Linked DNA regions of Ovis aries. The protein of the gene in region 1 interacts with the protein of each later gene in a pairwise test. Links are inferred from orthologs where the notes say so. Each region holds a gene or a part of one and is shown in the gene's direction. Other genes may lie near its edges.

Region 1 (3,804 bases):
TCAGTGGAAACTTTTTTTTTTTTCCCCCAGCATACACTGTAGTGCCTTGAATATAGCTGGCCCATAGTAAATATTTAATGAGTGTCATCTGGTTGGTAGCTATATATATGGCAGGTTTTAGTAATGTATCATTTGTCCAACAAATGTGGTCTGGGTGCTAGTGTGGGCAGTCCAGCCTCTCCATCATTAGCCAGGATCCAGCTCTTCAGATGGATTGAGCAGGCCTTTTGGATCCTAGGTCTGATGGATGAGAAAGACAGAACACAGGCTGACACCTCCCCCAGATGCAGATCACAATGAGGAAGGCTAGAGAAACAGAGCAAAGCCACATACTAAAAAAGGAAAGAGATTTTTCAGAGGACAGCAGAGATACAAGGGTTCAGGGCTTCCCAGCCTATCTTTACTGTGGAGTCCCTGTAACCCTCCCCAGTCACATTTTTTTTCTTGACCTCATAATCTGCTGGTAATGGGATTAGTAGTTCACTAAGCTCTTAGCTTTCAAGGATTTTATAGTTACAGTTTTGACTCTTTGCAAGTGACCCAGAGATCCCCGGTTTATAATCAGATCCCTGGTTACTTTGCAGACAGAGGCACACATTTGGATCCCAGGCACCCTGAGGTTTGTAGTTACCTAGCAAGTGAGTCTCAACAGCCACACAGCAGCCCCATCTCAGAGAGACTCCACCATCCTGTTTTGCTTGAGCACATGGAGGTTCCTGTTAAGAACGTAAAGGAATTACTGAAGTTTTTTCCGTTGTACTTTGCTATATTTTCTGGTTTATGTTCATGCTGTCATGATATTGAGGTATTTCGAAATTTATAACAGTCTTGGGAGATGTCCTTCATTGATGTCAAATGTTCCATCTTGAACTAGAGAAAATTTTGTTCAGTTCTCAGAGTATATAGTGCAGATGAAATTCTGTATTTAGTCTTGTCCATGGAGAGAGCCATAATTTATTTTCCTGCTCTGGGTTAACGCTGGTCAAGTTCAGGTGATTGGAGGGGCTTTGGCTAGTTGCCGTGGTGGGAAGTCCGAGACTGTGTCCTCCTCTCACCAATTCTTGCCTTCCCACTCCTCTTTAGGTGACCTGGAGAAAGCAGTGACTGAACTGATCATCGATTTTAACACCAACAGAGAAGAGGAGGGTCCCTATGAGGCGCTGTACAATGCTGTCTCCTGCCAGTCCCTGGATAGCACGGCCAGCGGACGCTCGTCCGACCGGGACTCTGTGAGCAGGGAGGCTGAGGCGGCCGGAGGGAAAGCTGCTGGAGTGAGGCCTGTATGTGGCCCGGGTTCTGTTGTCACCTCTGCTCTGCTGGGGAACGGGGGAAGGGAAGTGTGGCCCCCAGTGCCAGCTGCATCTCAGAGGCCTAGGCCGCCTCCACCTATTCTCCTGGTGGCTCCCCCTCTGCCTTTCCCCCTCTTGCTTAGTTGGGTCTAACTATGCAGGTCATGTTGAGGTATAATTTTAGTTTTTCAGTTTCAGTATAACCCGTTGGCATCTTTCTGTTACTCGATTGTTCTTAGAGCAAATTGAAGCATTTTATTTGTGTTAGGCTTAGCGCTGCTTCCGTGTTTGGTGTCTTTGCTATGTATTGTTGGCTTCTTTCCAGAGAGCAGGTCCATCGATGGAAGAGCTTACTGAATAACTTCCTGTCTGCCCTGAGTACATGTTGACCTTCCATTTGCCCTTGAAAAGTTACCCACTGGATTTGGACAGAGTCTGTGTTCGGCAGGGTTGTAGCAAGGCTTAAACAGATGCAGATATGTTAGCATATACCTTCCCATTTTTCCCATAGTTATAACCCTGCAGGCTTTGAAATGGTGGAAGGAGGACAACTCTGAATTTTTCCCTCAAAAGGTCAACCTTCCCATCTGACTGGTTCTTTCTGTAGTACTTGCTTCTTCTAGCCTTGAACATTGTTCTCCAGACTCCTTACCCCGCTGTCTCCCCTGGAGCTTTGCTGTGAGTCTAGGCCCGAGTCAGTGGTCCCATGGCCCTTCCTCCCTGCTCTGGCAGTGCCGCAGTTTGAGGCTTTGAGCACTGTGCTCCTCATAAACAGGCGCTGCTGTAATGGGATTCCAGTGATAGTCCCACCTTGGGGCATATTTTCAGGTGTATATTACATCTTCCTGTTGGAGAGGCTGGCCCTTCCCTTTGGTGGTAATCTGGCTTATGACCATTTTGACGATCCTTTGGCTGCTTGGCGATCCTCGGACTTTTCATTAGTGCCCTGGGAATGGCCAAATGGTTTTGGTGTTCTCTTTTGTTGGATTTCTGGCCCTGCCCTGTCCCAGCATTTCCGCGTGGATTTTGGAAAGGCCTGCCGACCTTGTGGCAGCACCCCCAGAGTGGGTGTTACCAGGGAGTGTGATAAACTCCTTGTCGGTGGTCAAAGCAAGCTTGTGTGCCAGGCACCACTCACAAAGTGCTTCTGCAGACAGAGCTGGTTTGCTTTTGTTTGTTTTCTCACTTCTTTCACTGTTAGGTACAAATAGGCCAATCCAACCTGTGGAAGAAGACACTGCCATCTGTGGCACTTACCGGTGATGCCCATTAGAGGGAGCTGGAGGCTTTGCAAGAAGAACACAGGGTTGCTGAAGTCAGCTTTGAATGACCAAGTTCCTGTGGGCTCAGCCACTGACTTACATGGGCTCTTTGTTCATCCCACTCTAGGAATCTAGCCTCCTGTGGTCCTGCTAAGTAGAAACTGGGGATGCCTCCTTTGCCAGTTTTATTTGAGGATGTTGTGGCTGTGCTGCCTTCCTGGCCCTTGATAATTAACTGTGGCCAAGGAACTGTTCCCTGTCTTGTAAACATAGCAGATAGTTATGTATGAGTCAGCCTTGTAGCCCCTCAGCCAAAGTTTTCATGGTAGAAAAGAGAGACTCATGCTTTTCTTTCCTTCCAGGGTCCCTGGTGATCACCACTTCCATAGAAACCTTTCAGACTGTTCTTTCTAGGCGTCTCTCGCCTTGAAGAGGCATCTAGGACGAGTCACTTTTATTTTGCTTCATTCTGGTTTTCCTCGGTTATTGTGTCCCTTGGTTGGATAACTAGTGTGATTATGGGCCTGCTCCATTTGCTGTTCCCCTCCTTACAAGGTGTCACTGGGACCAGGTTTGTCCCTGTACTTCTGGAGCAAGGAGGGTGGGGAAAGTGGACTTAGTGGGAAATTCGACCTAAATAGCTTTACTTGGCTTGACCGCGTTGGAGTTGTTGCCACTGGGCACCCATCTGGTGGCAGGGACTAGGGGAATGACCAGATTATCAAGATGTAATACCAGCCAGAAAAGTGTGTTTAACAGAGGGATCACGGAGCTGAGTGCTAACTAACGCGGCAGCTCCTAAAATGGGAAAAGTGTCTTTCCTTACAGGTTTCTTGGAGGCTGTCACTTCAACATTCACCTCCACCCAGATATTTAGAAATACTCTTGTTCTAGCAACACAGTGAACTAACCTACAAGCCAAGGAAGGGGCCTGCAAGCCGGCTCCCTTCCCTGTAGGAACATGAGCTCTCAGGCATGAATAGGACTTTGGAATATGAAGACATTGAGAGTCCAGCAGGGACAGTGGCTCTTCGTCTTTCTTTCACCAAAGATCGTTCTGTGTGTTCCTGAAACTGTCTGCCGTGATCTTGATAATCTCTTCTTCAGTGAGTTTCTTGCTTAAGGGTAGAGACTAGTGAACTGAGGCCCACAAACAGCTGCCTGTTTTTGTGAATAAAGTTGTATTTAGAACATAACCGCACCCACTCATTTACATATCCTCTATGGCTGCTTAGATGGCTGCATGGCAGAGC
Region 2 (4,604 bases), on another chromosome or scaffold:
CCATGCTGGAGATTGGAGGTGACGCGGGGTGGAAGTACCCTAGTCTGGTGGGGGCAGTCGAGCACACCACGGAACAAGTGGATGCTGCCCCTTGGTGGACTGGGGGTCTGATGGGGGTGCCCAAGATCTGGGGTATGGAGACTGGCCCTGTCATCGTGCTGACCCTCCGTCTCCCGGTACCCCATTCCCGCAGGAGAGCGTGGCTGTGCCTTCTGTGGGGGCCTGGGTCATCGGATCACCGACTGCCCCAAGCTTGAAGCCATGCAGACGAAGCAGGTTAGCAACATCGGCCGCAAGGACTACCTGGCCCACAGCTCCATGGACTTCTGAGCTGGCTGCCACCCCTCCTCCGCGAGGGGCCTCTGTCCCTGGAGCTCCAGCCGCCACCACTGCCCCCCCAACACACACACATAGACACACACACACACACCCGCCCTGTGAACAAGAAGACAGCAACCTCGGCTCAGCTGGCCTGGGTTGGGCCAGGCTGGACCTGGCTGCCTGCTCCCCATGCCCCCCAGAATTACTATTTTTGCTCCCCTTTACCCTAGCTGCCATTAAAGCACAAGCCTTTCTGGTCTCAGCCTCTGTGTTTCACCTTGTCTGCCCCGTGCTCCCTGGGCAGGCCTCACCCACTGACCACCAGCGCCCTTCTGAGGTTGGACCTTGGTATTTCCCACCACCACTGCCAAAACCTGCTGGTACTGAGCTGTGAAAGGAGCTGATTGCCTGGGGCCTCCTGTGGAGGCTTAGGGTAAATTTCTTCTATTGTGACTCAGAGAAGGACCACCCTGATAGACCAAAGGAAAATGGTTGATTGGGGTTTCTGGTCTTTCTGGTTGGCTGTTATAACCTCCAGGCCTGCCCCAGCCTCCCTCTTCCTGTCAGTGTGTAAAGTTCCCCAGGGCTTCTCCTAAGGCCCTTTGGAGACATCATGTCTCAGGCCCCCTGCCCACGCAGGCTCCCAGTAGGAAGGCCTCTGCTGTTTGCCAAGTGGGCAGCAAATGCCATAGGACTGCCACCTAGGCCACATGCACCCACTGACCCAGCTATGTGTTGGGCTCAGGACCCAGGTGAGCCAGACAGATGCCCTCTGGGAAGTTCACAAGTGAGTGGGACAGACGGATCAGCCATGAATAACAGCCATGAATAAATGCAGGCTGCTGTCTCGGGACTGCTAGCAAAGGGGCCAGGATTTCTTGCTAGGGGTCGATAGAAGAAGAGCCCTGGTGGCAGCTCCTCTGCGCCAGACACTCCATGCGCAGGCCACGCGCTTATCCCAGCAGGACAGCCGTTGCTCGAGCCATGTTTGCTACTTGGTGTGTCGCCTTGGGCAAGTTACTTAATGTTTCTGAGTTGATTTCCTCATCGGTGAAATGGCAATGAGAATGCAAAGGACATGGTGTCTGGGGCTGCTTGGGCCATAATGGGCACAAAGCCAGGTGAATGAGGCCCTCGATTTCCTGCCTGAGAAGCTACACAACCCACATGTGACCCCCAAACAGTGTTTGGCCTGTTCACACATTGCTTCCTAGAAGTGGCACGGGATAAATGACACAAGGCTGTCTCCAGAATTCAGATTCATATGCAGAGCTCAGATAACTGGCCTCCAGCAAGGCAAGGCTTAGAAAGAGTCCCAGTAAGAAGCAAAGCTTAAAAAAAAAAAAGCACGTGAGATCTCCAGGGAACTCTGCAGGGGCGTGCCACACTCACGTGGCTGGGGCCGTGCCATGAGGGCTGGGGCCTTTGTGCTCTCAAGATAGCGTGGGGTGGTCAAGGGAGGCCTCCTGGAGGAAGAAGGCCAGAGGGAGAAGGCCCAGTGCCCTGAGGAGCACGGTGAGAGGTGCCCTGAAGGGGCCAGGCGTGGGGAGGTAGAGGAGAGAATCCTCCTCGAGTGCTGGGCCCAGGAGTCCAAGCTAGACCTGAGGGCACTGGGAGCCAGGCAGTGTTTAGGAAGGGAAGGGATGGGTTGTTTGGGCATGGCAGAAAGGGCCTGATGGGCCCAGGTGGGGCCATGGTTCAATGGGAAGATGCCAAGGCTGGCAACAGACAGGAGCTGTGAAATGGAGAGGACCAAGTGATTGTTAGAACTGTTTTCCAGCACAAAGACAGGCCAACCAACTAGGACTCTTGAATGGGAAGGCAAGGAGTTTGCCCATCTGGCTAGAGTAAGGTCCTGAGGTGGGGACCAGGCTGTGGGCATGCCAGGACCCAGGGTACACAACTGCCCCAGGATGGGGGAGGGGTCGGAGCTCATGACTCGGGAGCCAGCCTGGGGTCAGAAGCTCACACCCAGCTGACCGGAACAGGCAGGGATCATCTGCCCTCAGGTGGTCTGAGGTCCCTGCCTGGCCCTAGTGGGATACCTGGAACCCCAAGGGAGAAATATGGGATGCCCTCCCCACCCTGTTCTAGCTCCTTTATGGTGTAGGCAGGGCTCCCCTCCCCCAGTCCTGCAGCTGCCGCTCTGGACAGAGGGAGGGGGAAGTGGCCAGAAGGGGAAGTGTGAGGAGTTCCCCTCCTACCCGTCATCAGTCTCTGCAGGTCCTCGGAGTGGCGGCCCTGGGTCCGGCCGCGCCATGGAGCCTCTGGAGACCCCCGTCAAGGACGGCATCCTCTACCAGCAGCACATCAAGTTCGGCAAGGTGGGGACCCTGGCTGCCAGGTGGCCGCCTAGGACAGGTAGTGGGCCTCTGCCCCAGACTCGGACAGGCCACTAGGATTGGGAGAAAGAGGGTAGGCGTCAGGGTGGGGAGTCCAACCTGGGTGTGGAGAAGTTCAGCCTCAGCGAGACCCTGCCTCATTTACAGGTGGGAAGCCAAGAGCAGGGAGCTGGTAATGCCACCAATGGGGCAGAGCAGAGGTGAGGGAGCGGCTAATCCAACAGCCTTCCATCCCGTCTACCAGTGGCACTGTGGCCCCTGAGAGGGCTGGAGGCTGAGCTGGAGGAGCCCCTAAAAGTGGAGCTCCATCCTGCCCAAGAGGGCTCAGCTCTTCCCAGCCCTGTCCTCAGGTCGCGGGCCCTGCACACCCATAGCTCAGCCGCAGCTGCTGCCCAGGCAGATAAACCGTCTGTTTCCTTTGCTCGGAATTATTTGCATGTTTCCTTCCTTGCCATCATGAGACCGAGGCCTCCCTCCCACCCCAGCCCTTGCCCCATGGCCTAATTGACCTTTTCTTTGCAGGCGGTGGGGGCACTGACAAAGCAGGGGTGCAGGTGGTCTGCTCTAGCCACTAGATAGTACCCAGTAGAAGCCCCAACCTTGTGCGTTCTCATAACCATTTGTTTTTTTAAGTATTTTATTTTATTATTTATTTGGCCATGCTGGGTCTCAGTGGTGGCGTGCAGGATGTTTTACTTGCCCCATGTGGGATCCAGTTCCCCGATCAGGGATCAAACCCAGGCCCCTGCACTGGGAGCATGGAGTCCTAGCCACTGGACCACCAGGGAAGCCCCCCCTCATGACCTTTGAGAGACGAAGATACTAGTGCTTATGGGGATCACAGTTGGGAAATTGTGGGGGTAGATGGGGGTGCTGACTGACTCCAAGTACAGACTGTCCCCCTTGCCATGCCAGCTCTGGCAAGGCATCCTGGGCTTCCCTGGTGGCTCAGATGGTAAAAAAGCCACTCAGACAGTAAGGAGTCTGCCTGCAGTGCAGGAGACCTGGGTTCAACCCCTAGGCCAGGAAGATCCCCTGGAGAAGGAAATGGCAACCCACTCCAGTATTCTTGCCTGGAAAAATCCTGTGGCCAGAGGAGCCTGGTGGGCTACAGTCCATGGGGTCACAAAGAGTCGGACACGACTGGACAACACTTTGCTTTCACGTGGCCTGAGGAGTGGGGAGGCGGAGGCCACCCTGGGTGGCCAGGAGCACTGGCTGAATGGCTTGTGTGGGGTTGAGCTGCTGCAGGTTGGGAACTGCCACTTGAGGGTCATCTCCCCCATTTTTATCTCCTGCAGAAGTCCTGGCGGAAGGTATGGGGTCTACTCTATGCAGGAGGCCCCTCGGGCGTGGCCCGGCTAGAGAGCTGGGAGGTCCGGGATGGTGGCCTAGGGCCAGCAGGTGACAGGTCTGCGGGGCCTGGCCGGCGGGGAGAACGGAGGATCATCCGCCTGGCTGACTGCGTCTCTGTGCTACCGGCTGATGGTGAGAGCTGCCCCCGGGACACAGGTGCCTTCCTGCTCACCACCACGGAGCGAAGCCACCTGCTGGCCGCAGAGCACCGCCAGGCATGGATGGGCCCCATCTGTCAGCTGGCCTTCCCGGTGAGCACAGGGCAGGTGGGTAAGGCATCCAGGGGCGGGCCGGGAAGACCATTTCACCCACACCTTGTTCATCTCCATGCTCGTTCACGTCCCGTCACTCGGCAAGCACCTAGAAGCCTGGGATACAGCCCAGAAGCCCAGAGAACAAATCTCAGATTGCCATGCATGCTATGGAGAATGTGAGAGGCTGAGTGGGACCATGAGTGAATGGGGGGATGTTAGACAGGATGGTCCAGGAAGGCTTCTCAGGAGAGGGCAAATAACCCACCAGGCAAAGATCTGAAGAAAGAGCATCCTCAACACCGGTCTGAGAAGGCTCCTGAAAAGAGGAAGC

The links.
Region 2: the proteins of ANKS1A (region 1) and DOK3 interact in a two-hybrid assay, tested with the Homo sapiens proteins (2 studies listed by BioGRID and IntAct). The link is inferred for Ovis aries from reciprocal best matches to the Homo sapiens genes ANKS1A and DOK3.

Annotation. Positions count from the first base shown.
Region 1 is NC_056073.1:9,105,406-9,109,209, forward strand, and holds part of ANKS1A (ankyrin repeat and SAM domain-containing protein 1A), read left to right. Parts: intron 1-1,083; coding exon 1,084-1,280; intron 1,281-3,804. UniProt on the Homo sapiens protein: Regulator of different signaling pathways. Regulates EPHA8 receptor tyrosine kinase signaling to control cell migration and neurite retraction.
Region 2 is NC_056058.1:36,712,018-36,716,621, reverse strand, and holds the start of DOK3 (docking protein 3), read left to right. Parts: upstream 1-1,756; 5' UTR 1,757-2,387; coding exon 2,388-2,645; intron 2,646-3,964; coding exon 3,965-4,285; intron 4,286-4,604. Other genes in the region: probable ATP-dependent RNA helicase DDX41, read left to right, coding at 1-18, 194-330. UniProt on the Homo sapiens protein: DOK proteins are enzymatically inert adaptor or scaffolding proteins. They provide a docking platform for the assembly of multimolecular signaling complexes. DOK3 is a negative regulator of JNK signaling in B-cells through interaction with INPP5D/SHIP1.